Mus musculus: one gene and its partners. The protein of the gene in region 2 interacts with the protein of the main gene of each other region in a pairwise test. Links are inferred from orthologs where the notes say so. Each region holds a gene or a part of one and is shown on either strand. Other genes may lie near its edges.

The links.
Region 1: the proteins of Itsn1 (region 2) and Ap2b1 interact in binary tests that used the Homo sapiens proteins (3 or more experiments, as listed by UniProt). The link is inferred for Mus musculus from reciprocal best matches to the Homo sapiens genes ITSN1 and AP2B1.
Region 3: the proteins of Itsn1 (region 2) and Disc1 interact in binary tests that used the Homo sapiens proteins (3 or more experiments, as listed by UniProt). The link is inferred for Mus musculus from reciprocal best matches to the Homo sapiens genes ITSN1 and DISC1.
Region 4: the proteins of Itsn1 (region 2) and Wbp11 interact in a two-hybrid assay, tested with the Homo sapiens proteins (2 studies listed by BioGRID and IntAct). The link is inferred for Mus musculus from reciprocal best matches to the Homo sapiens genes ITSN1 and WBP11.
Region 5: the proteins of Itsn1 (region 2) and Cyth1 interact in a two-hybrid assay, tested with the Homo sapiens proteins (2 studies listed by BioGRID and IntAct). The link is inferred for Mus musculus from reciprocal best matches to the Homo sapiens genes ITSN1 and CYTH1.
Region 6: the proteins of Itsn1 (region 2) and Snap25 interact in a two-hybrid assay, tested with the Homo sapiens proteins (2 studies listed by BioGRID and IntAct). The link is inferred for Mus musculus from reciprocal best matches to the Homo sapiens genes ITSN1 and SNAP25.
Region 7: the proteins of Itsn1 (region 2) and Dlgap1 interact in a two-hybrid assay, tested with the Homo sapiens proteins (2 studies listed by BioGRID and IntAct). The link is inferred for Mus musculus from reciprocal best matches to the Homo sapiens genes ITSN1 and DLGAP1.

What each region holds. Positions count from the first base shown.
Region 1 is NC_000077.6:83,337,183-83,340,729, reverse strand, and holds part of Ap2b1 (AP-2 complex subunit beta), read right to left. Parts: intron 1,418-3,547; coding exon 1,302-1,417; intron 1-1,301. UniProt on the Homo sapiens protein: Component of the adaptor protein complex 2 (AP-2). Adaptor protein complexes function in protein transport via transport vesicles in different membrane traffic pathways.
Region 2 is NC_000082.6:91,727,963-91,732,176, reverse strand, and holds the start of Itsn1 (intersectin-1), read right to left. Parts: upstream 2,807-4,214; 5' UTR 2,578-2,806; intron 2,570-2,577; exon of another isoform or gene 1,642-2,569; coding exon of another isoform or gene 1,602-1,641; intron 1-1,601. UniProt on the Homo sapiens protein: Adapter protein that provides a link between the endocytic membrane traffic and the actin assembly machinery. Acts as a guanine nucleotide exchange factor (GEF) for CDC42, and thereby stimulates actin nucleation mediated by WASL and the ARP2/3 complex.
Region 3 is NC_000074.6:125,052,670-125,057,016, forward strand, and holds the start of Disc1 (disrupted in schizophrenia 1 homolog), read left to right. Parts: upstream 1-1,525; 5' UTR 1,526-1,560; coding exon 1,561-1,615; intron 1,616-4,347. UniProt on the Homo sapiens protein: Involved in the regulation of multiple aspects of embryonic and adult neurogenesis. Required for neural progenitor proliferation in the ventrical/subventrical zone during embryonic brain development and in the adult dentate gyrus of the hippocampus.
Region 4 is NC_000072.6:136,825,394-136,829,388, forward strand, and holds the start of Wbp11 (WW domain-binding protein 11), read right to left. Parts: upstream 2,824-3,995; 5' UTR 2,627-2,823; exon of another isoform or gene 2,173-2,626; intron 718-2,172; exon of another isoform or gene 717-717; 5' UTR 672-716; coding exon 608-671; intron 155-607; coding exon 123-154; intron 1-122. UniProt on the Homo sapiens protein: Activates pre-mRNA splicing. May inhibit PP1 phosphatase activity.
Region 5 is NC_000077.6:118,245,748-118,249,836, forward strand, and holds the start of Cyth1 (cytohesin-1), read right to left. Parts: upstream 2,812-4,089; 5' UTR 2,714-2,811; coding exon 2,692-2,713; intron 1-2,691. UniProt on the Homo sapiens protein: Promotes guanine-nucleotide exchange on ARF1, ARF5 and ARF6. Promotes the activation of ARF factors through replacement of GDP with GTP.
Region 6 is NC_000068.7:136,772,406-136,775,952, reverse strand, and holds part of Snap25 (synaptosomal-associated protein 25), read right to left. Parts: intron 2,059-3,547; coding exon 1,933-2,058; intron 1-1,932.
Region 7 is NC_000083.6:70,423,315-70,427,630, forward strand, and holds the start of Dlgap1 (disks large-associated protein 1), read left to right. Parts: upstream 1-1,477; 5' UTR 1,478-1,574; exon of another isoform or gene 1,575-1,584; intron 1,585-4,316. UniProt on the Homo sapiens protein: Part of the postsynaptic scaffold in neuronal cells.

The DNA of each region.
Region 1 (3,547 bases), on a different chromosome or scaffold from region 2:
GTTCACGAGGGAATAAATTAACCTGTGGTATAAGAAAATACCATTATCTTGTGTTTAAAAATCAACCTTTCTTATAACTACGTATTCACCTTGCTGAATCTATACGTCCTTTACTAACATAACTTAAAATTTTATTTTTATTACTGAAGACTGAACCTAGGATCCAACACATACCAGGCAAACTCTTTCCTATGAGCAGTATTCTCAGCCTACTGCTCTCCTCTTGTTTAAAGCAGGGTCTTGCTAGGTTGCAAGGGTTGGCTTGAGCTTGTCCATGTCCTGTCTTGGCCTCCTGAATAGCTGAGATTATAGGCCCATGCCATCAGATCTAGCTGGCTAATGTGATTTTCAACATTAGACTGAAACAGAATATATTAATGTGGATAACTAGTATACTAGGCCAAGTATCTGCCCTATTCCTACTTATTAAACCAGACTCTGACTATTTTCTTGAAATTAAACTGTCATAACCCCTTATTTACACAAGTTTTACACATTTCTCTATTGATCTTTTTTTTTTCCTTAACCTGTAACAAAACAGTTTAGAAACTTGATCCTTCACTTTTGGAGGGAGTTGAGTAAAAGGTGGTGGTCCTCTTTCTAAAAATAACACTTCTCAAGACAAAACAAAAAAAAAATCTCACAAAAACCCAAATCCTGCACTAATTCTGGACTGCAGGTCTCAGAATCAAAGTATTTTGTTTTATGAACTAAGAGCCCCAGTAAAAACTTTGTGATGTAAATGATCCCTGTGGGAGCAGCCCCAGTGTGTCAGCAGAGGCCAGGGGAGTAACTTATTGAATGCACTCTGCTGCTCCCACAAGGCAGTGGGGCCCCATGCTGAGCAAACAGCATGGCGGCTGGAAAAGTTATTCTGAGAGGAGGAAGGACACAATCATTGGTCTGCATGGAGCGAGTGTATCAAGACACCTAGGGATAAATAGGCTTCCTGTGTAATGGTAACTCTGACACAACAAACAATCTTATGTGTTTGATGTAGTCTATGCCAAGTATATACTTAAGCTAAGCCTCATTTCTACAAAAATAATGAACAGCTGCTATGGTGGCTCATGCCTGTAATCCCAGCACATGGGGCCAACTTAAAACTCCATTCCCATATTTAAACGAGAAGTTTTAGTGTCTGTTTGATACCCACTATGTATCTCTGACTTCATTAAAAAAAAATCTACTATGACCAGTTATATATGGAATAATAATTCTTACCGAGTCAATTTCAAAGTGCCTTACTTATACGTTTCCCAAATGATCTGAGAAAGAAGATTACATGAATTTTGACATACTTGTTGGGGTATTTTCGGAAGATGTCCCTGATGACAACAATTGCCTCTTGGACCACATAATTTACTTTGGTCTGGATTAGATCAAGCAGTGTGCTTACACAGCGTTCTGCTGATTGCTAGGGAAAGAAACATCAACACTTAAGTTAATCCAATAACACTATCTCAACACAGAAAAGGAAACATACAAGTACACTGCCTGAGTCAGACAGGCACTGACTCTGCTAAAGCTACTAGAGGCTAAATGATACAATGTATATCAGCATTAACAATTCTAGGAATATACCAGATTTTATTCATTAGCAAACACATTGAAAACAGTTTTGGGTTTGGTTTTGTGTGTTTTGCTAGGAGCAAACCTCGGGCCTCCCACTGGCTAGTCAAGAGCTCTGCACTGAGCAAGCGATCTCTATCTTCCACATAACTCTGTTAAACGAGTGAACAGTAACCTGGACAATGGGGAAAACATTAAGAAAACCAAACAAACAAAAGCCAGGAGAGTAGAAGGAAAGGAAGGTAACTGAAGAACACATCAACACTGGGGATCCTTACTGGAATTCTTAAGTGAACAGACACTGAATAGGGTGTTTTTGGTGTTTCTTTACTGGCCTCTCCCTTCCTCCCACCCTCCCCTCTCCTTTCCTTCCCTCTCCTTTTCTTCCTTCCCTCTCTCCCTCTCTCTCTAGGAAGTAGGTAGGGGGTGTGTATGTGTGCGTGCTCTCTCTCTCTCTCTCTCTCTCTCTCTCTCTCTCTGATGTGGTTTCTGAAAACTGGGCTCTGGTTCTCATGACAGATCAGCAAATACTCTTAACCATTGAGCCATCTCTCTGGCCTCCAGCACAGCGTGTATCTAAACCTAGGAATTTTGTTTGGACTTACAATTTTTTTTTCATTTATCTATGGCTCAAAATATTCTAAGAGATTTTGTTTATTGTTTTTTGTTTTTTGTTGTTGTTGTTGTTTTTAGACAGGGCTTTTCTTTTTCTTTTCTTTTCTTTCTTTCTTTTTTTTTTTTTTTAAGACAGGGTTTCTCTATTTAGCCCTGGCTGTCCTAGAACTCACTTTGTAGACCAGGCTGGCCTCGAACTCAAAAATCTGCCTGCCTCTGCCTCCCAAGTGCTGGGATTAAAGGCGTGCGCCACCACACCCGGCTCTAGACAGGGCTTTTCTGTAAAGTCCTGGCTGCCCTAGAACTTTCTCTGTAGACCAACCAGGCTGACTTTGAACTCTGAGATCTGCCTGCCTCTTGCTCCCAAGTGCTGGGATTAAAGGCATGTGCCACCACATCTGGCTCCCATTCATCTTTTATTAATTGAATATATACTACAAACTGATAAAATAGATTTCTTGATACTGTGATTTTTTTTTTTTTTTAAGGATAGGATTGTGAGAAAAGTTCCCAAAACTTAATGGCAAGTCTGAACAATTATCCCTCTGAACTATTACAGGTCATTAAATTGTGTGCCTCTTGTCACAATTCAAAAGGAACCACACAACATCATCTAAAACTTTTGACTGTCACAAGCCTCCAGATTTAGTCATCTAAAGGGGACAGAGGTATGAGGTCCAATCTAGACTCTGGGAAAGTCTATTAAGTCTAAAAAGCAATCAATAAGTGGTACTGTATTAGGGCCAGCCAGATGGATCATCAGATAAACGCACTAGCCACCAGGCCTAATGACCTGAGACTGATCTCCAGGAGCCTCATGGTGGAAGGAGAGAATCAATTCCTACAAACTGTCCTCTGACCTCCACATATGGACCTTGGCTCATGCTGCCGCCTTGAACAATAAATATATAAAATAATAAATAAATAGGTAGCATCAAAAAAAAATGAAAATCAAAACAAAATACAATACCTAAGAACACATATTAACCAAAAGCTATGTACAGAAAAGAAAACAAAATAAAAGCCAGGCGTAGAGGCTCATGTCTGGAATCCCACATTTGGGAGACTGAGGCCCAGGGAATGTGAGTTTAGGGCTAGCCTGGGCTATATAGTAAGACTCTGTCTTAAAAAGTAAAACCAATGAGCACCCCAAAATGCTTGGGGGGCAGGGGGTATGCTGAAAAGATAAAAATCTATAACTAAGAAATCAATAAATAATAACAAAATTATTTATGGATATGGAAGTATCAAAATAATCTAATACAAAAGAGTTAAAAGCCATCCTTTTGGCAAGTGGATCTAGGTAAAGAAGGGAAGGAAGCAGGGGCAGTGATGTTTTGTTAAAAATTCTTTAATCTGA
Region 2 (4,214 bases):
TCCAAGTTCTCTCTCTGGCTTGGAGAAATTCCTGGAAACTGTATTGACAATACTGACTACTTCCCATTGTCTGACTGAGCTGGAGAGACAGAAACCTGGTAAGCTGATGTAAAGATATCTGAATGCCAGACTTAGATGGAGCCAGTAAGTGGAGCCATTCAGGAGGGAGTCACTAAAAAGAGAAGTCTGACATAAACCCAACCTCCATTAATTAATTTTCTTTAAGTCACAGGTTGAGCAAATTAAAAGGATGAGAGTCTAGAGACTGTAGCACAAGGCCCCAGGATCTAATGCCAGCAGTACCACACACAAAGACAACGTGAGGCTGCAGATGTAGCTAGGTGCTAGGCTACACTCTAGCATGCTCCAAGGCTTGGCTCAATCACCAAAAGAGAAAAAGCACAGGCAGAGGAATTTACCAGGGCCTCCCTTTTAAGCTCTTGCAAGTGTTTTAAGGGTGTATCTCAATCTAGGTTATTTGGGGAAAAGATAAAGAATGCCCAGAGGAAAAAGAAACTGCTAGTCAACAGCAAAAGAAAGAAAGAAAGAAAGGAAAAAAGGAAGGAAGGAAGGATGGATGTGGGCTGGAGAGATGGCTTAGCAGTTAGAGCACTGACTGCTCTTCCAAAGGTCCTGAGTTCAAATCCCAGCAACCACACGGTGGCTCACAGCCATCAGAACAGCTACAGTGTACTCATATAAATAAATAAATCTTTTTTTAAAAATTAAAAAGAAAGAAAGAAAGAGAGAGAGAGAAAGAGAGAGATTCAAAGAAAGAAAATGCTGAGGAACAAACATTTCAGGGAACTAACTTGCCGCTACTCATTTTATGCCCTATTTCACAATGCTCAGCATCTGAACAATCCACAGGGTTCCAAAGTACATTAAAATGTGTTCATTTCCTCTCTTACTCAGGCAGAATAATAATAGTTTTGTGGCGGTACCACAATCCTCAGCAATTTCAATGACAGACACTTTTTTTTTAAACACATACTCTCTGAGAGGTGCCTTACTGCAGCCACTTAAAAGTGTATAGAAATATCTATGCCCTGTCACCAAATCAGTGGCCTTCACTTCTTAATTTAAATCCTTTATAATTTCCTGAGTTCTTTACATATCTCCTACAGAAAGACGTTGCTTTTTAAAAACTTCTTAAGTTATAAGGGAACTCACACACACATACAAAATATTTCAAGCAAACTAGTGTAAAAAAAAAAAAGTAACAAAAATGGTAACCATAATGGTTGCTGAAACGTCTGCACTCTTCACCGTTAACATCTTCTAAAAATAAAAGTATCCCAACAAATAAATACATTCCTCTAGTTTGGAGCATTTAGAGAAACACCCTGCCAAGCAGCTGGCCTGCGGGCTCCTGGCCCCAGCTCCTGCCCTCACATCCTGTCCACTACATAATCCATGAGCAAGCCTTTCTCTTCATCAATTCAGCGGGATTAGTAAACCGGCCTCCCTGAAAATAGAACTGATATTTTCCACGGGCATTTGTTCCCATGCTTTCACTATCTATGCTATTTATCAGACTCTTTTTTTCTTTTTTATCCTCCGTGTTTCCGACCACGAAGTACCAAGAGAAAGATACCAACCGATAAACACAAAAGAACCGCATCTGGCCAGAGTCTGCATGCATTTACATTTCCAGGTTGCTTCTGTTTTCCGAAAAGCAGTGATGAGGGCAAAGTCGCAAACTTTCACATTCAAGATGCTACCAAATACCTCTACACCCTCAAGCTGCAGCAAGAAGCCACTAATCTATTCCTTCAAAAGCAAAGCCTGTAGTCTGAATCACAACAATAGAAGACTGCTCATAGGCAAGAGGATCAGCGAAGTTGTCTTCCAAAGCAAAGGCAAACAGAAGTGAAGGGAGATCCAGCCAGCTCCTCCTTGCTTTTCTTTCTTTCTTTTCTTTTTTTTCTTTCTGGGAATCCGGATTGCATTTTCTGGTGCCCCCCCCCACCCCCAAGAAGGGACCGCAATTATGCACTGGGTCCACAGCAGACACCCGAGTCAGTGCGTGCGCAAGGAGGGCGAAGCGGCCGAGAAGGGGACGCACGCCCGCTGCAAGGGTAGCCGCTTTCTGTTAAATGCCATCAGAGCCAGCCCCGGCCGCACCACTTCGGCCCAAACGGCATTGACCGCCCTTCACTTGACAGGGTATTCCAAGCAGGCGCTAGAGAAAAAGGATGAGCCGGGGACTCGAGGCCGGGGGCACCCGCGGGCGGCGCGATGCGGCTCCCGCGAGCTCGGGATCCCCGGGAGGCCGGGTCGGCCCGCCACCCTCCGGCGGCCGAGGGCAGAGGGGTCAGCGGTGGAAGGACCGCCCGCCGCGATGCCCCCCACGGGAGCGCCGGCCGTGGCTGCGGACGCCCATTCAGCCCGAACCCGTCCCGCGGCCGCCACCGCCGCGGCCCGCCCGCCCCGCTGCCCCCGGGGAGGATGAGAAAGACCGGGCGGAGCGGCGACGGCGGCCGCAGGGACGCGCGCCCGGCCGCTGGACCCGACCCCGGGGCGGCCATCGCCGACCCCCGCCCGCGCGCCAGGCCGCCCGCGTCAGCTCCTCACCTCATCTCCGGGCGGGTGCGCGCGGCCGCCCCTCACACAAATCAGTGCAGCCCGCACGCCGCGCGGAGGAACGCCGAGTCCGCAGCCGCGCACACCATCCCCGCCCGCCCGCCTGCCTGCCTCCCGGCCGTCCCGGAGCCCGCTCGGGATGCTCCCTTGCGAGCCGCCGTACTACGGAGCAACCAAGCTGCGCGCCCTCCCCGCGCCGCTCCACTCCTCTCGCCCTCCTTCGCTCCTTCGCTCCCTCACTCCCGCCTAACTCCTCATCTCCCTCCGCCGCCGCCCCTCCGCCCACAGCCTGCCCTCCGCCCCACCCATAGATGGGCGGGGATAACCGCCTGCCAATCGGACGGCGGAGACCACGCCTTCGCTCTCTCCTATGACTCCGCCCACTAGGTGGGCAAAAAAGAAGAAAGGAGCCAAAGGAAATAGAGGTGTACAGAGTGACAACGAGATACACCAATGAAGTAGTTTGGATAGCACCCCCCCACACACACACACTTTTTTCCCCTCCCATCCTTGTCTCGTCCCTTGAAGGCGTAACTAGAGGTTTCTGCTCTATGCGTGCGGAGATTTTGTTTCACGATTTGGCGCTTTGCTCTTTTCTATGCGCGACAGTAGCTAGGATACATTCAACTAAATTGAAGGTTTTGCAGAAAGAGCGTGGGCACGAAAGGCGAAAGACACAAAGACTGAAGAAAGATGGTAGGGGTTACGGTTGGAATGAGGAAGGGTGTGGCCTTTTACTCTAATTTGCATAAAACGGAACCCATCTTGGCAACGCCCAACTTCTCCCATTTATTGGTGGTCCCTGGGGCGGCGACTCGTCTCTCTACGGGAAGCAGCATGCTGGGAGATGTAGTTCCGGGTTCAGTTGCCATGGCGTTCGTCACAGCCTCCCCCAGATCGGTCATCCTGCGGTAGTGACGGGCAGTCTGACCAATGGCAGTACTGTTTGGACCCAAGAAGGCGGGCTCTCTGCAGAAGGACTGGGAAGGTGGCGGCGGCGAAGGCGCTGGCGGTTGAGGTTGCTCCGAGCCAGGTGAGCCAGGGAAGAACGATGTGTGTCTCTGAAATGGGACTTTGGGCGAAAAATGGAGAAACGCCTGAAGGAGCTGTCTAACCCTGGGGAGACTGGTACTTCGCATCACACGCCGACCTCAGAGATGCCCTGGCTCAGGCCTAGCTTGGCCGAGGCCGCCGAGGGGCGGGTAATACTAGATTTGACGGACAGTTCCTGACCCTGGCTAGGTTTTGATTGTAGACTGATCTTTGCTTCTTCCTCCGCGTTTATGGAGGCAAAGGTCTAGAACTGCCTTTCTCCTGGGTTGAGTCCTCCCCGCCCCCAGCTTCTCCCTATCACTGTTTCTGATGCTGTCTCTATTACTACTTCCCTTGTCACCCTTCTTATCCTTCTCTTTGCATTTCCAGTAAGCGGTTTCCTAAAGCAAACAAGGGTGGGTGTTCGCAGTAATGGGGCCTTGGGTCAGGAATTGCCTGCTTCATTGAGCCGGCCATACTTGAGCCATACTAAAGAATTATCCCAGGGTCGTGAGGAGGTGCAGATACTGATTCTGGATTTGGGCCTGGTGGTCTGCATTTGCTTTTTAAAAATTATATATATATATCTATATATG
Region 3 (4,347 bases), on a different chromosome or scaffold from region 2:
TCTGGAGCTGCAATTGCAGGTAGCAGTGAGCTACTCAGGATAGATGCTGTGAAACTGAACTCTGATCCTCTGCAAGAATGCTATGTGCTCTGAACTGTTGGGCCAGCTTTCCAGCCCCTGTTTTAAGACAGTTTATGTTATATATTCAGAGGTATGCCTAGTTATCCTCGGGAGTGAGTCAGGTAGACCTGAGAGTGTTTATGGCAGGCTGGCCAATTCAACTGTATTTACTACGGAGTGCCTCCTGAGGAGGAGAGGCGTTCCATTCGTTTTAGCTGACCACTTCAGATCGATCGCAGGCCATCACTGAGGGGAGTCAAGGCAGGAACCTAAGGCAGGCCTGCTTGCTATAGCACACAGCATTAACCTCCAATGGAGAGCTCACTTCACTGCCAATCAGGTATAGCAGGAACCACAGAGGACGCTGTTTGCCAGCTGGCTCGTAGATGGGCTTCAGCTCACTTAGCTTTCTTGGATAGTTCGAAACCTAGGTAATGGTGCCGCCCACAGTGGGCTGGGCCTTCGAAGGCCAGTTAACTGTCCAGACCTTTCTTACAGACGCGATACGGGCCAATCTGATCTAGGTAATCATGGACTAAAGCTCTCTGCTCACAGGACCCTAGGCTATGTCACACTGACAGGTAAAGCAAACTAGGATACCAACACAGTGCCTTTTTCAACCCTGTTACCCTACCCACTGCACTAAATCCTGACTCTGCTCATGTCTTTATCAACTTCAGCCGCATCCGCCCGTGCTTACCCGAAGGTTCCTGGTAAGAGGCAACTGCTCTGGCCCACCTTTCCAGCACCTGGTCTTTTTTCTAGGGCCACAGGCTCCTCCCTTCCAGCACGCACTCTCCCAGGCTTCTTCCCACTGCCCCATGCTCCACCCACAGTCAGGTCTCCGGCTGACTCCATGCAGTTCAGTTTTGTAGGTTTATTTTTGCCTCGGGGTCCAGAGGCGAGGTTATGACGGGCCTAACCCCTGACTGGCACTTCCTGTACCCACTGTCCTGTAGCAGGTGCTTTGCTGAAGCAGCCAAAGGGAAGGGATGGGGGAGGTGAGCCAGCTGCCAGGAGCTTGGCACAAGCCAAGGCTTGTGCCGTGCTCCTGGCCAGCCCCGTGCTGCCAGAGATTCGATTCTCAAGTCATTTTTAACAGCTGCTCCCACCCCCCCCGACCTGTCATCTGTCACTTTCCTTCGGCTTCACCGCGACTTGGTAGGAAGAAGTCCCTCTCTTGACCACCCCGCCTTTTACTCCCAGGGTCTGGGAAGCGCCCAGTCTTTCGGTCCCTGGCCACACTGCCCCATCACACTTCCCCTCCTTGGTTTCCTCCAAGTGAAAAGCAAAACTTTCTGCGCTGCGGTCTGGGAGCCGCGAGGGGCGGCGCGCGCGCGCTAGCGAGGGGCCGAGGCTGGAGAGGAAGCGGCGGTCCTGGGCAGGAGGAAGAAGCCAGCCCTCGGCTCGGCCCCCTGCCCGTTTCCCGCCGCCTCCGCGGCCGCCGCTACCACCATCACCACCACAGTCACCGCCGTCCGGGGCGCAGCCGGCCGCACGATGCAGGGCGGGGGTCCCCGGGGCGCTCCGATCCACAGTCCGAGCCACGGCGCAGGTAGGGCCCGGGGTTCTGGAGGAGGGCGAACGAGGCCTGCCGAGATCCGGGCGCACCCTGATGCAGGGGAGGGAAATCGAGGCAGTGAGCGGGGAGTGCAGGGTGCGGGCGGTCGTGTCCCCAGCTCCCACTGCAGCTCCCGTCCAAGCGCGTCCCCGTCCCGAGAGTCCGGCCGCCCTGAGGCGCAGTCGGCGAAGGGCGCGCCCGCACTCCTTCCTTGCGAGGTCCCGGTGGCCGCGAAGGTTTCCGCAGCGCCCAAGTGCAGCTCGATCCCAGGACTCCCTCGGGTGGCCGGCGCAGACGCTGCGGGGACGCGGGGCGAGGTTGAGAGAGGTGTGGGAACTGCAGCCCGCACCTCCCGTGGGGCTGCTCGCCGCCCACTTCCGAGTGTGGACTGTGACGCGCAGGGCAGCGCAGGCTGAGGGGACCCGCTCCATTTCCTCTGTCAGCTTGGGCCACGTACCAACCCCGGTGATGACATCGAGTTAAGTGGGTGGCCGCTTTTCAACCTCAGCAACTCACTGTCAGAAACCCCAAGAAAAGAACGTGATGGCACACGCCTCTTTTCCTAGCACTCGAGAGACAGGAAGACTGTGGAGACTTTCTAATACAATCTGGGCTACAATAGTGAGACTCTATCTCAAAAACCAAAATCAAATCAGAACAATGAAAAATAAAACAAGCACGGAGATCTGCTCCAGACTGGGCTTTGCAGTTTGGGCGTGTGCTGTGCCAAGGAGAGAAGGCAAAGGACTTAGGAGCTTCTTTTGGCTCTTGGAGCCTCAGTTTACCCATCTGTGAAAGGAGCACTAATCACTAGCTTCCCTACCTCCTTAACTGGCTTCTATGAAGACATTTTTGCAATTGGGAGTTGGAAAATACAGGGTTGGTAGGTGGGTGTAGGGTAAGAGTCTTCTGCACCCGCATCCTGGACTCGGGAATGCCTTAGTTTTTCAATTTGTAAAATGGAGCTGATTTTCCTGCCTACGTGGTAGATTTTAAAAGGGGTTTAATGTGGTAGGAGGACATGAAACCCCTGGCCAAATCTCTGCGATACAAAGCAAATTCTCAAAAATCTCTTAGTTGCCCAGGCTAGCCTTAAATCTGCTGCCTAGCCCAGGCTGGCCTCCAATTTGCTAGCCTTTGCCTCCCAAGTGCTGGGATTACAGGTGTGCTCCACTACGCACGGGTCCTTAAGTATTATTTTGACCATGCAAGACCTAAATAATCGTGGGCAATACAGGAATGCCAGTGTGACATGTTAGTGTCTGAGTTACAGGGTATTTGAAAAGACATTTGGCACCTGACATGGAGACCGTTGAGGTTTAGCCAGGATTCTGCCCACAGCAAATAGAGCCCTGGATGAGAAACCTGCTTTCTGAGCTGTCTCTCCAAGTCTCGGGCTTTCTCTTCTGTTTATAAGAAAGAGAAAGCACCTGGGCTGTAATTATTACCTTAGCCCTGAGAGTGCTGCCCTGGGATGGAGAGCAGAACATCTGGAACTGGGGCAGGTGACAGCCTACAGGCGACAGGTGCCACTTTGCAGAGAGTGCATGGGCCAGGCACTTGGTCCTGCCCTTTGATGAGGTCCCCCTCACACCGGTGAGGGGCTGGTGCTACCATCCTCATCTTCCCTTGGATGTGGCAAGGGTTGGAGTCACCTGCCTGTGGCCCTGGTGGTTAAACAGGGACTGGGGCTCAAAGTCAGATGCAGGTGTCTCCAATTACAGGCTGAAGGGAAGGTGTCAGGTGGAGCCCAGGCTGAGCGTGGACCTTTGCCTGGTCAAAGGTAATACCTGGTCTTCTGTTTCTGCCGTTTATACCTATCTTCATCTATCTATCTATCTATCTATCTATCTATCTATCTATCTATCTATCTATCTATCTATCTATCATCTATCTATCTATCTATCTATCTATCTTCTATCTATCAATCATCTATCTGTATATCTTCTGTCTCTATCATCTATCTTCAGCATCTATCAATCATCTATTACCTATCTATCATTTATCCATCAATCTGTCTGTCTATCTTCTATCAATTATCTACCTACCTATCTATCAATCATCTATCTATCTATCTATCTATGTATCTGTCTATGTATCTATCTATCTATCTATCATCTATCTATCTATCTATCATCTATCTATCATCTATCTATCATCTATCTATCTATCTATCTATCTATCATCTATCTATCTATCATCTACCTACCTATCTATCAATCATCTATCTGTATATCTTCTGTCTCTATCACCTATCTTCAGCATCTATCTATCAATCATTTATTACCTATCTATCATTTATCTATCAATCTGTCTATCTATCTTCTATCAATTATCTACCTACCTATCTATCAATCTATCAATCATCTATCTATCTATTTATCTATCTATCATCTATCCATCAACCTATCTGTCTGTCTATCTATCATCTATCAATTATCTACCTACCTACCTATCTATCAATCATCTATCTATCTATCTATCTATCATCTATCTATCTATCTATCTATCTTCTATCTATCAATCATCTATCTGTATATCTTCTGTCTCTATCATCTATCTTCAGCATCTATCAATCATCTATTACCTATCTATCATTTATCCATCAATCTGTCTGTCTATCTTCTATCAATTATCTACCTACCTATCTATCAATCATCTATCTATCTATCTATCTATGTATCTATCTATGTATCTATCTATCTATCATCTATCTATCTATCTAT
Region 4 (3,995 bases), on a different chromosome or scaffold from region 2:
GTTTTTTACCAGTCAATTTTCTGGCTTTCATCAGCAGTATAGCATAAAGCGTCTTTCCTGGCAATATAATTTGAAATTTCACAAATGTTAGAACAATTCACAGAATGTTTCTAAATTCGTACCTTTTTCAGTTCTCTTTTTCGGGCTTCCTTTCCTAAGGAGAGAGGAAGAGAGGCCATAACTCACACTTCCATCACCAACATTACTATGAGCTACTACAACTGTTAACAGTGTCGGTGAATGGAACAAACATGGCTTTGACCCACTAGGGAACTTAGTGCTTCCAACCCTCTCAACCCAAAATGCCAAGATGTGTTCTTTACAGAAAAATAACTGAACCACAAGGAAGAAAAGGGATTCTCAAATCACACACTTAAAAACTCATTTGTTAAAAATTCTAACATAAAAAAGACTTAATTTTCTCCTGCTAGCCAGTCAAGTATGAGGAGAAATGTGTTAAGCAGCTTACACTCTCAACATTCTAACCATGAGTCCATTTTAAGAATTCTACATGACCTCACACACCCCACTCTACCAACGCTGAACTTAGGCCACCATGAAAGAGTCTGCCAGTTTTAACCCTTCTACTTCTTCCTTCCGTACTTACGGGCTTGGTCTGTGGGGTTCATAAACTTCCCACTCTTGGTGGAGGATGTTGATCTTCGTCCCATGGTGACAATTTATATGATTTACTTCTTCATTAAAAAAAAAAAAAACTGGAAAGAAAAGATATAAAGAACTCAGTTTTGCTGTATGTGTAAAAAGACTTCCTTTTACGAATTTGCATCAATTTCTGTAAAGAAATATCCCTTTGGTTCTCTACTTGTAAGACCGTGCTCTTTAATTTTGAATGAAGCATCCAAGAAATTATTTCTTTACCTTTCTTTTTTTTTTTTTTTTTTTTTTTTTTCGAGACAGGGTTTCTCTGTATAGCTAGCCCTGGCTGTCCTGGAACTCACTCTGTAGACCAGGCTGGCCTCGAACTCAGAAATCCGCCTGCCTCTGCCTCCCAAGTGCTGGGATTAAAGGCGTGCGCCACCACGCCCGGCTTTCTTTACCTTTCTTGACCACAAAGAAAAGGCTAGTATCTGTACTAGTCAACACAGTGAGAATATCATTAACTACTCAAAAGTTTAACCCTTTCCTATGGATTATATAGTGCTGTTAACTGAATAAAGAAATCAACAAGAACTTTGCACTTATAATGCTATTGTTTGGAATATAGACTGAGCCATATGAGACGATCTCAAAACAAACCAAAACCAATTGAGAAATATTCTAACAATGCAATGCAAACCCTGAGGACATCTTTCCGACCTGTATAAGGGGATATGAAACAGGAGTGGAGATAATGAATCTGGGTTAAAGACAAATACATGCTCTTTACTTTCTCCTTAGACTGCTCATTCCACACGCCAGATGGCAAAATGCAATCCATTCAAACATATTTATCTTGATTTAATACCAAATCAAATGATTTATGACTCTCAAACAAAAGAAATAAAAAATGAAGTATTAGAACTCCTCAAACTTAACATTAAAGTATATTCTTACTAGCACATATGACTCCTGATTTATGTATTTTGAGGGAATTAAAAGTGGTAGTCACGGTAGGGAAATATTTTAAGGCCAGGCTTTCATTATTATCACTTCTTTCTCTTCCATTCCAAATGAATGAAACTTCCAAAAATTAGCCTTGCCCATAGTAAAAAAAGGAACAAATATTTCCTGTTCAAAGTGTGCGACACTTTCCTACAGGCTACATCTCCTGTGGCTCCCCCTTTAAGCATTAAACAAATCTACTTTCTTTCTACATTAGGAAAGGGAAGATCCCGAGGTAAATTTGAGACTCTAATTCCCTTGGCTCCTTAGGTGGGACTCTGTAAGTTGTTTTAGTTAATGCTTTTTTTCATCAAGCGTTCAGCTGGCCGGCTCCCTGCTGCTTCCCAGATATTTCAGAACTGATCGGTGTCGATTATGTCATTACAGATGTTTCTCTATCAGAAAGCAGAAGGGGCAGGAGTTTGGGAAGAAGGGAAGAGAAGGGTACTGACTATAGGGAACTACAAAAAGGCACGGATACAACAAATTCTATTTTTGATCTTTTCTTTAGTGTTTCCCTTCTTAAACCAGCCTCGGGCTCTCGTTTTGACGCCATCCCATCACACACACCTAAAAACCAATCAGCTACGAGTCAAGGAGAATTTTTACAAGACCATAGTGCCTCTGCCTGCAAACGTTGGCAGAGACAAGGTCAAAAGACCATGGGAACCCAGGCAGCACAAACGCAACCCGACCGGTCCGGTCCGGTCCGGGTCCACTCCAGGAGGCCTCACAGCAACTGCCGAAACCATAGCGACGGTTGATAGCGACTCGAGCGGCTAGACGTCAGCCCGCCGCCACCGGTCGCCGCACTCGGGCGGTGGGTCTGACCCGGCGGGAGATCCCGCCCGAGAACCCGTCGGACGCAGTGCCAGGCCGGCCCCGAGCCCTGAAACCCGAGGCTCCCGCCACCCCGGGCCCAGCGGAGGAAGAGCGCGGCCTCTGGGCCTGGTGTTTCAGAGAAGGCTTCGCAGGCCCCGGGGAGGGTCGCGGAAAACGGAGCACCGAGTCCCCACGCACTCACACGACTGCGAGGCTCCCGGGACGGCGAGAGCAGCTAGCGGGCGGTCCCGGAGGACTCTCTGCGAAGGGGCCTTCACCTCTGCCCCTCGGTCAACCACCCGGGAACCGCCATCTTGAAACCTCGCGCCCCTCCGCCAGCTCACGTCACTTCCTGTTCCCGCTGGCCGCGATCTCACCGCGTTGCCAGGCACTGGGCCCATAGAGCGAATACAACAACTTCAGAGCCAGAGGTACTTCCGCTCTCATTCACTATCCGATTGGATAACTATAGGCCAAGAGACCCGCCTCATTCCAGAGTATTGTAGATTGACACTAATATAACCCAATAGAAATAAAAAGTAAGGAAGCTGCTATTTGATTGGCCAATTGTTCTCAGAATTCTGACGCATTTCCGCAACTGCTTCTCTCTGGGGACACACTAGGTAGCGGTATGCGTACGCTTCTGTGTCGGCCATTGGATCTGTGTTAGTTGTCGTGTGTAAATGGATGCTGTTTTTCAGGAATGCTTCCATAGAAAACAAGTTAGGTAATAACACTGGGCACCGAGTCTAAGGTGCTCAGCAAACATCAGCCCTCTAAACCTACAGCATGTGATGAACTGAACAAATAGTTCCTAGGGGAGACTCATAAATCTACACGAAAATGTATATTTTAAAAGAGAAACGGTACATTTGTCGATTTTCCAGAGGAGAAGTTATTACATAACACTTCAAATGAACTTTGCATCAACCCAAACTCCTTTATGATGTCATTGCACACTCTAGATTTATCTGAAGTCTTCCTTTGAGGGTTCTCTAGAGTCACAGAACTTGTGGATAGTCTCTATATAGAAAGGGACTTTGTTATGATGACTTACGGTCTGTAGTCCACCTCCCCAACAATGGTCAGCTGTGAATGGGAAGTCCAAGGATCTAGGAGTTGCTCAGTCCCACCAGGCTAGTAGATTCCAACTGATGGGCTGGCAAGTAAATGCAAGCAGAGGAGGAAGAGAAAAACTTCCATCTTCCAATGTCTTATAGATCTCCAGAAGAAGGTGTGGTTCAGATTAAAGGTGTGTACCGCCACGCCTGGATCTGGGCCTTGTACTCAGAGATCTTACCTTACTCTCCTGGGGATACATAGCCACTATGCCTCAAGATTTCCATGCCAAGATCAAGGTCAGAAACTTGTATTTCCCAGCCTCAAGATCTGGATCACAGGTGAACCTTCCAATTCTGGATTGTGGTTTGTTCTAGATATAGCTGATAACCAGAAATAGCTATTATATTTCCCTTCTACATCCCCATTCCTTAAGACTCCTCCCCATCCTTTCCCCTTAAAGGTAAGCATTTAAAACGAAATCTTCATAAAGTGTGAACTTGGTCTGTCTC
Region 5 (4,089 bases), on a different chromosome or scaffold from region 2:
CTCTCTATAGTCTGATACTCAAACTGGGAGGCTCAGTCAGACACAGAATCAACACAGTGCCAGCTACTCAGAAGGCCGAGGCAGGAAGATCACTTAAACCTACCAGTTTGAGGCCAGACCCATGGAATCATAGGGAGATGCTCCCCTAACTCAAAATGGAAAGAGGAGATCAAGAGAAGGGGGAGAAGAGAGGAGACAAGGAGAAGAAGGGAAGGAAGGAAAGAAGGAAAGAGGGAAGGAGAGAGGGAGAAAGAGAAGGAAAGCTGGTCTCAGTCTCCACATGGCCATTTTATACTATATGATACTCGAGGAGTTCTCTTGTATTTAACCCCTCTAGATCCTCCCAAGTAAAAAGACGTAAAAGTGTATAAAGGGGGCAATGAGCTTCCTTTTCATCCTCCCATGCCGCTCTCTTGAAAGCTTGCACGAATGCCCACATCTGGGATGATGAGATGTCCCAGTGGGTTCAAAAGCGCTTGGTGTTAAGTCTAGCAACCTAAGTTTCATCCCAGGACTGGCAGAGTGGAAGCAGAGAACCCACTCCTGTCTCATAACCTCCACGCGCAATAAATAAATAAATAAATAAATAAATAAAATTTTAAAAAGTTAAAGATGTGAACATCACAATCCTCAAGTCTTTAAAAGTGTTTACTCACATGGCAAAAGGGAAGCTGGGTTTGTGGATGGCTACTACGATCCTTATCCTGAGTTATCTAGGTAGGTGTGACACACAAGTGTCCTGTGAAAGGGCAGCAATTAGACAAAGTGGAGAGATGCTATCCACTGGCTTTAAGGATGGATTCCAAGGGAAGCGAAGCATCCTCTGGAGCTAGGAAAGGAAAGGAGGCCGACTTTTCCCTCCAGTCTCTGGCAGGAACACTACCCTAACAAAATCTTGGTATCAGCCCAGTGTGACCTAATTTGGACTCTCACCTCCAGATCTACAGAGTAAATTTGGGTTTGAGTCCCTCTATTCCTGGCAGTAACAGGAACCAAAGCCTTCCATTTTTCCTTCCCTAGTACAAGTCATGCCTGAGTCAAAGAAGTCACTATTAAACCAACCAGAACAGCAGCTCTTGCCTCACCCAGCGGGCAATAACCAGGGGAGGGTAAGAACAAAGCTTGGCAGAACCCTGGCACCCAGGGGACAACAAAGGACAAGGGGGAGAGAAAAGAGCAGTGGGGAAAGCCAGTGAAGGTTTCCAACCGAAGAAAAAAACCCTGAGGGTCCAAGGGGGCCGAGCAATCCCTCGGGGCCTGCCTGCAGGTGACTGCTTTTCTATCACAAAGGAAGGCACACACCATGTTTACCTGGAAGGTAGCAAAAGCCGGCTTCTTCCACTGAACAGGAAGGCACAGACCTCTAACATTCAAGGAAACAGTCAGTGTTCACACATCTGAAGCTCTGGGAGTTGTTAGCCATAATCCTCATGGCTTCACCGGGTCAGGGTTCTCTAAGGGCTCCCCTGCAAAGCCCTAACACTCTTCCCTCTTGGTACTTTAATATTCCTCACCAGAGTGTGAGGAGGCAAAGTTACCTGTGAGGCAACACACCGGAGTTTGGCTCCACTAAGCCGTATAAGCTTGTTAAGTTCCTGAGCCATACTTCCCTGCCAAACCAGTAAAAGGTCACCACTCGCCCTACCTGCCATTCCTTCTTCCATTCCTCCTGGAAACAATGCTAACAACCACGTAAAGCATTTCAAATAACCTTCTACAACTCCAGAGACTGCACACCCTCGGAGGGACCAGAGCCCTGGCTGTTCGCCAACAAGCAGCAAGGTTAGCCAGGAGAGTCTAAATCGCTTCTGCCCTGGTGGAGGATGTGGACTGGTGTCATTACCCGGCTACCTTCAGGCAACAGCTCAAACTTGATCCCCTTGCCCGGTGTGGTCAGGCCCTGACTGACAGACCAGGGGACCAGGAGCTAATTCACAATGCGACGGTAGCACGAACCTGACCGACGTCCCCGGCTCAGAGGCCCCGGTCAGGCCACTTGTGTTCATCTCAGAACAAAGAGCTGGATGGGGCACATAACTTCTAACACCCCTGAGAGCCGGAAACTACTAGGGAACACAGGCCGGCCGGGCGTGTTAGTCCCGCGGCCGCTCGCGGCGTCTGCCACCCCGGTGACAAGCAGCAGGCGACTCGTCTTAAAGACTACGACCCCGGTCACCTGGCCCTGACTCCCCTCGGCACCCCGGGGCTCCTCAGCATCCTCATGACCCTCAGCGCTCCGGTTAACCCCCGCCGCGGAGACCCTCTAACCCCGGCGACTCCCCTTCCGGGGCCCCTAGACTCGCAAACCTCAGCCCCAGCGACCCCCAGGCCCGAGTAACCTCGGTCCTGGAGCCCGAAAGCAATTCCCGGTTTTACACCCGTCTCCGTCGGCGCCCTCAGGTTCGGGCGACCCCTGCCGTGACCCTCCAGGCCTGGGTGACCCACAGCCCCGGCAACCCTCAGGCTCGAGTGACACTCAGTTCCCAGCGACCCTCAGGCCCGGGTGACTCTCAGTTCACGGCGACCCAAAGGTCCAGGCGACCCTCAGCCCCGGCGACCCTCAGGCCCTCGAGCGTCTGGGCAGTCACCCCCGGGCCCTCGCACTGCCGCCACCCGGCGCTCCGCGTCCCGTCCCAGGGACACCGGCGCAGGCGGAAGCTCACGAAGGGGCAGCGGACCGGCCCCACTCACCATAGCTGTCATCGTCCTCCATGGTGCTGGCGACCGGCTCCGGCCCGCGACCGCCACTGACCTCCCGCAGCCCGCGTCCTGCCAGACACCAGCTCGCCACAGGCCAGCTCCGAGCCGCGGAGCCCCGCCCCCCGCACCGCGCCCGCACTGCCCAGCACGCGCCTGCGCACGCGCCGCCCGAGGCACCGCCCCCGGCACAAGGTCCCGCCCACAGCCAAAACGCGCGTGCGTGAACGCCCTCTAGGCCCCGTCCCCTTGAGGACCTCTTTAGTTTGCGTTTACGCAAGCGCGGCACCTAGGCTCTGCCTATCTATGACTCCGCCCCCAAGTCACGCCCTCTCTCCTTAGGTACCGCCCCCTCTCCTCGGGGCAGGGCAGTTTCGGGTTTCAAGTTTCACAAGCGTGCGTAGGCCGCGGGCGTGGTTTACTAGCCAGGGCCAGCGTCCAGCCACTCGGCTGGTTAAACATACTCAAGGTCACGGGTATAACCCGAAGGGTAAGGTGGCCCTAGCTGTATCCGCCTCGGACACCAACACGTCGAGGAGGAAATTACCTAAACTCATCTGTGTTCGTTACTTATACTTCCTACCGGCGCCAAGTTGCACAGGAGGACATAACTTCCAAATTAGTAGCCTCAATTTACAGGCTCTGCTGCTTTCTTCGGGAGGACCGGTTGATCCCCCTTTGCAGTTGTGGCCAGGGGCTGCTTCTGTGGAGGTGAGAGCATTTATGCGGTAGGAGGTCTCTGCAGAATTAATCAGTGGAAGCACCAACCAATGATCTGAAAAGGCCCTTAGGGAACACCCTGTCCTGTGAACTCTAGCCAAGTGACCAGCAGGGAGTGCATTGCAGCTCAATGACAGAGCACTTGCCTAGCAATGTGAGAGACCCTAGATTGCATCCCAGAGACCAGGGGAAAGGAGAAAACTAATTCCCAGACTCAGAGGGTCTTATATGGGCTGGGGCATCTCTGGGTGGTAGGTCCCTGTCCAGGATGTCCTCCACCACAGCATGCACAAACCCTTCTTACCCCAGAAAGGCCTGGGGTAGTGGTGCTTGCCTGTGGCATACCTGTTGTTAGTCTAGCGTCCCAGGAAACTGAGGCAGGAGGACAATATAGTGAAACTCCACCTCAAAAACAAAACAAAACAAAACAAAACAAAAACCTACAAATACAGCAAAAGAGACACTGGGAAGTTTTGGGACGGGTCTTCCTGATTGAAACAAAGACTTGAAATCCCCCATGCAGCCCCAGAACCAGCCTTCTACCCCCACAGCTCCCTCTCTCTGCAAATCACTGCCTGTAGAGGGTTGTGGGAATCTCTGGGCTTCTGCAGGGCATGAAGGGGCCAGGCCAACCACATGGGGAGGAAGGAGAGTCAGGTCTTTCCTTGTGGG
Region 6 (3,547 bases), on a different chromosome or scaffold from region 2:
TGCAACCTTGTCTCCATATATAGCCCAAGCTGACTTTGAGAACTCAGACCTGATGAGTGCTGGGATTAGAGTCCTATGCCACTATGCTTGGCTCCACTAAGATATATATCAGCCTGAGACAGAGCAAATTTAAAGATTAAGAGAAAACCTCCTATCATTTACATTTCATTTGAGTGATCATCAACCATGAACAAGTTTCTGTACCACAACTACTTCCATCCCTAAAGCACAGTGGAACACCAGAGCTGTACAAATCAGAGATGCTTGTGTCAGTTGTCAAGATATTTGGATTGAATTGCTGTGGATTAAATATTGGCGCGTGTCCCTCTGTCTTTCCTTCTTGCATTTTTCCCTGCTTCCCCCTTCCTTCCTTCCTTCCTTCCTTCCTTCCTTCCTTCCTTCCTTCCTTCCTTCCTTCCTTCCTTCCTTCCTTTCTTTCTTTCTTTCTTTCTTTCTTTCTTTCTTTCTTTCTTTCTTTCTTTCTTTCTTCGGATCTCCCATAGTCCATACTTTTACAACCACTGGCTTACAAATTATTAATTGAGTTTCCTTGTAAGCAGATGGAGGCAAAATTAGAATTGTCATTTGTAAGGCATATCTAGACCCTATGACTTATGGCTCACATTTGAATACCAGCATAATTGATTGGCCAATAACTACAATAACTTAGAGATAAATAATTAGGAAGACAAATATCTTCACCTATGCTGAGTTCTGGTATAACAGTGTATATCATTGATTCTCAGCCTGCTTCATGCTGCAATCCTTTAATGCAGATTCTCATGTAATAGAAAATTATTTTTGTTGCTACATCATAAGTACAATTTTGCTACTGTTTTCAATTGTACTGTAATTATTTCTGGAGACAGAGGTTTGCTAAAGCAGTTATAACTCACAGGTTGAGAACTGTTTGTTGATATGTAATAAGTCTAAACTGTTTTAATTGATAAGGCTTACACTTTCTTTGACAAAATTACGCTTTTCTGGTTAAAACAAACTGGTGGTTGTATGGAATGAATTGGGGGGAGCATGCCCAAAAATATAATAACTTTAATCTTTCCTTTGTCATAGAAAATATTTGGCTGTTTTTCTGCTTAGTGGTTTCCTTTCCTCAGGCCAAGATATTGGCTGACATATAATTTGAGCTTTTAAAATAGGTATTTATTTATTTATTTATTTATTTATTTATTTATGCTTCTAGATCTCAAAAGAAGTGGTTAATGTGTATTCCACTTTTTCCTCCTTTTCCTACTCTAAATCAGGTCTTTGACTTCCCCTGCTCTGTGCCCTGAGAAGCTGACCTTTATTACTGTACTACTGGCTCCTTGTTTGCTCTGGCTTCCAGTGGGCTTTGAATAGTGGCCTGAGAGAGACTGGAGGTCATGAAAGCAGGGTTTAGGGCATTTGCTTCTCTTTCTTGTTCTAGTCAACTCTAGCTATGACTGTATTTCCCTACCATAAAACCCTTTTGTTCTTGGCCTATCTCCTGAGAAAGGAGTGGTAACAGCTTTCTGGTACTCCTAGACTATAAATGCTACATTACTCTTGCTGTTTACCAGGCCTCTGCTAAAATAAACTCAGGTCAAGTGATGTCATTCCATACCAACTCTGATTCTGGATGTGGTCATGCTTTGCACCATGGCAAACTGTGCCCATGCCATAGCTCAGAAGGAAATCATGTCTTGGATTTTGCCTGCTTGGAACACTATCATTACCATGAAGAAACCTGAGCTCTTTGCTGGAAGACCTCATGCAGGTGGATGGAAGTGTCTCTACTGATAGCCCAGCCAAAGACCAGACAAGATAATGAATGACAAGCTATCATAATCTAATCATAGCCCAATGAGGGAGCCCAAAAATTCCTTGCAAGTAAAAGAAAAGAAAATAGTTCAGTGCTGGTTATCCATCAACAGAGTACTGCAAAAAACTCACCTGCGGATGAAGCCACCACTGATGGCCATCTGCTCCCGTTCATCCACCACACGGGCAGGCTGGCTGGCCACTACTCCATCCTGATTATTGCCCCAGGCTTTTTTGTAAGCATCACTGGATTTAAGCCTATGCAAAAAATTGGGTGAGTGACAAAGCCCAGGGTGGAGGAGCAAGCTCACAGAAATGATCACTTCTTTAAGCGAAGAACCGAACCAAGCAAATGAGTTTTAAGTTGAGGCATTAGAGAATACCGATATATCATAATCTGGACCCAAACAGTTGGCCACCACCACACCTCAGCTATTCAGCATTTTATTTTTAATTAAGCCAATTTTTTTGGGGTTTTTTTTTTTTTTTGGTTTTTCGAGACAGGGTTTCTCTGTGTAGCCCTGGCTGTCCTGGCACTCACTTTGTAGACCAGGCTGGCCTTGAACTCAGAAATCTGCCTGTCTCTGCCTCCCAAGTGCTGGGACTAAAGGCGTGCGCCACCACCGCCCAGCTAATTGAGCCAATTTCAATGGTCAAGACTAATCTTTGGTTTGTTTTGTGCTTTAATTGGATTTAAGATGAGGCTTAAGATAGCTGGTGAACATTCAGTTCTATTTCAGTGACATGATTATATTTTGAGACACAAAACACAGAAAAACATACTGGCAGACAGACACAAGACAACACTGCCAAGTAGAGGGTGTACATCACACCACAGTAACACGGAGTCATGAAGAAAAACATACTTGACGTTTAAACACACCATCATGCAGTGATCTTTGCTTAATATCTTTCCCTCAATGCATGTGTGTACTACATTTCAATGTTTCATGAAAGACACAAAGGATTGGTGGTTGGCCAAGGGTGATGGTCTTTGGGTTGCTTCTAGAGTGGTTTGAAATTGATAATATATCGGTACTTCCAAACAGTCACCATACATCCAGGGTTGATGTACAAACCTTTGTCCACAGAGACAAAAAGTAAAAGAAGCATTGTGAAATGAATGCAGGAAAATAGAAGAGAGAACAAGCCATCTAGCACCAAAGAGGAACCCCACCCCACCCCACCCTGTGTCTTCTTCATGCACCAGCTACAGGCATGAGTAGAAAGTGAAGCATTCTCATTTAAGCCAAACTACTCCAGAAGTTGACCATTCTCGAAATAGGCACTAGCAGGACAGTAATAGCCTTCGTGAGGATTTGAAACGCAGTTCAGTAGCTTCTTGGTTGGGCCAAAGGGCAGGGTAGTGTGCAAACAGATTCCTACTTTAAACTATTCTGGGTTATCACAAGGGAGAGTGGTTTGGAACTAGTGTGGTCTCCATGGGCTACATTTCACTGACCTGCCTTGGAACAAAACTTAAAATCCAGGCATACCTGTTGTGCCCAATAGAAACATATAGAGCATATTTTGGTGGGTGTGTTGTAATTTAAGGCAATCAAAGATGTTTCTAGGTTCTTTGCATAGTAGAAACCACATGCTATTGAGTCCAAGAACAACATACATCCTTCGGTCTCATTTCGCAGTTTTTATTCTAAGACAACAAGATTATATACTACTTTCCCCCACTTTTTCTGTGTTTCAAAGCCATCTCTTAAACTGGCTTTAATCCTTGCAGTCTGAGGAC
Region 7 (4,316 bases), on a different chromosome or scaffold from region 2:
ACATCTCTGTTCTCATCAAAGAACCAAATGAGCCCCACACTAGTGGGTGGAAGCCATGTTCCCCTGGGAACAGGAAGGAGAGGGTGTTGATCAATCACGGAAGCCATTCCCTTATTTCATGATGTAGTGTTTATGGTGTAGTGTTTACATGTAACGTACATGCATTGTCCTCCGTAGCTTACAATGTCTGGCAGAGCATAAAGACTGTAAATATCTGCCACTCAGCACTGTTTCTCTATTAAAGACAAGAAGAAAGAAACTGTACCTATGTAGTTTTGGATTGTCCGTTAAGTGACTCTGTAGACGTGGCATGCTTAGACACAGAGGGCTGGCTTTACCTAAATTCTCATGACAAGTTACCACATACTGTCTCAATCGCCAAGTGATACATAAAGCAACAGTTCGTATTTAGAGAGAACATTTTTATTCTTATGATTCATTGTAAAGAAATGGGACTTTTAAAAGTGATAAAAACAAGTCTAGAAAGCTGGCTCAGCCATTAAGAGCATGCCTTGCTCCCCTAGCCTCTCCTGAGATCTGCTGACTGAGGGAACGGCCCAGCTTTAGTGCCTACTTTGCTCCAACCTTAGTCTCAGGAATAAGAGAGCCAACTTAAGTTGCAAAAGCACTCCACGCTCTTAAGATCACATCGAGACCTTAAGACTACCCTACAGGAGGAGATTCTAGCAGGCTGTGTAGAGATAAAGGCTCATCAGTATATGACATTTGATTACTCACAGCCATGGATCCATATAGCTAGGACAAAGCAAGAGAGGGAAATAATGTTTGCAGCCTGGCTGAACATCAAAAAGCCATGGGAATGTTCCACAGGCGGGTTCCTAAACATCTGTGGCAGAAGCAAACAGACTTTCCCCCAGAATACTTATGGATCTTGATGCCAAGCCAGGAGTGTGAAGGAGTAATGCAGGGAAGATAGTGGAGAACTGACTGCTGAGGCCCTGAACTTCAGCGGAAAGCGTTGAGGGCTTGATCGCTGTGGCCTGGCATGAGGACTGGGCATCCTGCGGGAGCTACTGCATAAGATGGATACCAAGAAACCAAAGATCCTTGCGTACCTGGAAGGTGGGACGGGAAGAAAAGAGAACACAAACAGAGCCCAGTGATTTTTAAATCCCTGAGGACTAGATGTTCACTACCCACACTCCAGGGTGCCCAGTAAATTTGTTCAATAAATACTTAAATATGTGATATGAAATCTGGAAAACGGGGGGTGGAATGGGAAAGTAGGGTTTTACCCAAACAAAATAAGCACATTTAAAAGGATGAAAATTTAGCAGGGAGCTGAGTTTACTTTGAGACTGTGGTAAAATGGCAAGATAAAACATGGTTCAAAGTGCACAAGGGAAGTGTGTGGAGGTGAGGCCTAGGCTTCTCAACGTCCGTTCTGGAAACATGGCTGACCTTTCATGTCGTATTTGCATATGACAAGCAGACTAAAGTATGAACTGTACTTCTGACAGGTTACATCTGCTCTGGGACTTGCTGAATGTCACCTGAAGGCCCCTGTGTCTGCTTCAGAGAGCTCCTGTTGAATGACAAAGCCGCTAAGAGCAGTAAGTCCAGGTGGGGAATCCGTGTGGGGAAAGCAGGGCCTGTGAGACCCACCATCCATCCTCCATTAAAACAGAAAAGTAGCAAAGTACAAGTCGTCCTCCCAGGATTCACAGTTAACTACAGGCCTCCACTGCATCTCACACACAGACACTACACACATACACACACACACACATACACACACATACACATACCACACATATATACACAAACACACAAACAAAAATACACACACACCACCTATACGCCACACACACACATATATACACACACACACAAACACACACAGCACACATACACATATGCAAAAACTAACACAAAAAAACACACACCACACATACACAAACGCCACACATATACAAACACACAAACAAAAGCACACACAGTACACAAACACACACACATACCTAACTCATGCACACACATACACATATATACTATACACAGACACACCATGTACACACGCATATACACACACCACACATATATATACATACACAGCACATATACAAAAACATACCACAAAATAAAAACAGTCCTATTTCTCTGGGCATTAATCTGACAGTATTAAAGATATGCTTCAGGTTTGGGGATGTAGCTCAGTAATAAAGTATTTGTCTGTCATATACAAGGCTCTGGGTATTGTGTCCAGCAGAAATTCTTCGTGGGTTTATTTATTAGTGTTGGAAAGAAAGCCAAAGAGCATTCACAGTCTGCTTATTATATAGTGTGACAGGAATTAGAAACAAAAAAAACAAAAACAAACAAACAAGAACTACTCTTTCTCGTGACACCTTTTCCGACTCTTGAAGATCCCCTTTTTGTTTGTTTGTTTGTTTGTTTTACTTAGTTTGCTGACCTTAACTGGTACAACAACTTGATAACATTGACATCTATGAGAAAAAGATGAGGTACATTCAGTACGGGGGAGAAAAGATGGGGAGAGGAAGGCCTTGGGGAATGGCACACTGTGTCCATATCTGTGCTTTGCCATTGTGTGCTGTGAAATATTTAGGGGGGCAGAAGAAGAAAAATTATTTTAGAGTATATAATAATATGTTAACAATGTATCTTAAAATATTAATACCATAGTAAAGAACTGAGTTTGGGTGACCTCCATTATTATGTTCATTCTTCAGGTATGAAAGAAACAGTATCTGAAACACAGAAAATACAGAAGGCTCATAAATACAAAGTTATTTGTTGTTCTGCTATCAGCGTGGTAACAAATTTACAGAGGGAGCGTCTACTTAGTTGTTATATCCCTATATATGAATTGTTTCTGATATGGCCTTATGTCACTAGTATGCCCTGCACACTGGAGTGTCAGTGGACTCCTCAGAAATTGTCTTGAATGCTCTATTTTGAATCATTGTTTCTTTGACTCTTGATAACCTTTGAACCATATTACCAAACCTTTGAGACTTCTCATTCGAGAAACTGGGGCATCATGGTCCTGGCATATATGTGAAAGAAGGAGCGAGGGAAAGGGGGAAAGGAGAGAGAGAGAGGTGGGGAGAAACTGTCAATGTTTCAGTGCACAAAATAAAGACAAATGCATTGGTAAGTTAATTGGCAGAACTGGTGGTTGTTTCCAGCATGCAGGTATGTTTCTTATCCTCCCTAGGGGAACGTCCTTCCTGCTGCCTGGACGGTGCGCCCTCGCCTTTCTTCTCTCCTACATCTTTCCTCCTATTAAATGGGCATGATTTGGAATTATTAGTTTGTCTTTCATGGAGATATTTTGCCCTAAATGTTACCTCTTTGAGATGTTCCCATCGATATTTTTTTTTTAATTCCTAACTATAGAACAAAAGCTGAGTTTTGTATAGAGTTGTGTTTCCATGCCATATATTGAGAGAGGATAACTGTAAAAGCCTTAAAAATAAATTAGTTTCAGATGTGAAGCTTCCTAAAAAACAATGAGCTCAAAACAAAGTGAGCTCCTCGGGTTCCCACCATCTGTCCTTTCGTCTCCCAATCTCAGCTGTTCGCTTCCCCATCCTCTACCCAAAAATGCAGAGGTGAGCTGGACCCAGGGCCATGTCTCTCTCTATTCTGTGGTCTCCACCAAGAGCACAGTCTCCAAGAACAACCCTAGGGACCTCTTACACCCACTTAAGAAGCTTTTATCCCAATACTGCTGCCACCAGTGCATTTTCCTCCTGGTTTAATATATTAGGACCATGCTTCCCTAGTGTCTGTGACTGCTAAAATCTTGTTGATGAAGAAGAAGGAGGAAGAGGGGGAGGAGGAAGGGGGAAGAGGAGGAAGGAAGAAGAGATGTGAGTCCCAGGCATCTCTTGGGCAGTAAGACGTTACATGTGTAACCAGTGCTAGCATCTGTGGCAACATCCAGGAGGGTTCTGTCAGCTAGCATCACAGTAACTAATACTCGCAATAAGCAATCTATTTTTAAGTCTATACATGTTTATTTTGGCTCGCAGTTTTAGAGCTTTTGGTTAATGGGAAGTTGTCCCATTAGGGAACGGGGTTTGTGCTGAGGAAACAGAACTGGAGAGTGGCACACAGCACTGCATCTCATGGCAAAGAAGAAAACTGAGAAAGATAAAAAGACAGTTTAAAAAAAACTAGCACAGACATTGCAAAAATAGCAGGGAAGAGCTGCTTAAAGACTAGAGAGTAGAAAGAGAGGAGGGGGCCAGTAGATGCCAACAGACGTAGACCAAACTGTGGAGGTTAGTACAGTGGCGCATCCAAGTATTGAGATGTGTGGACCG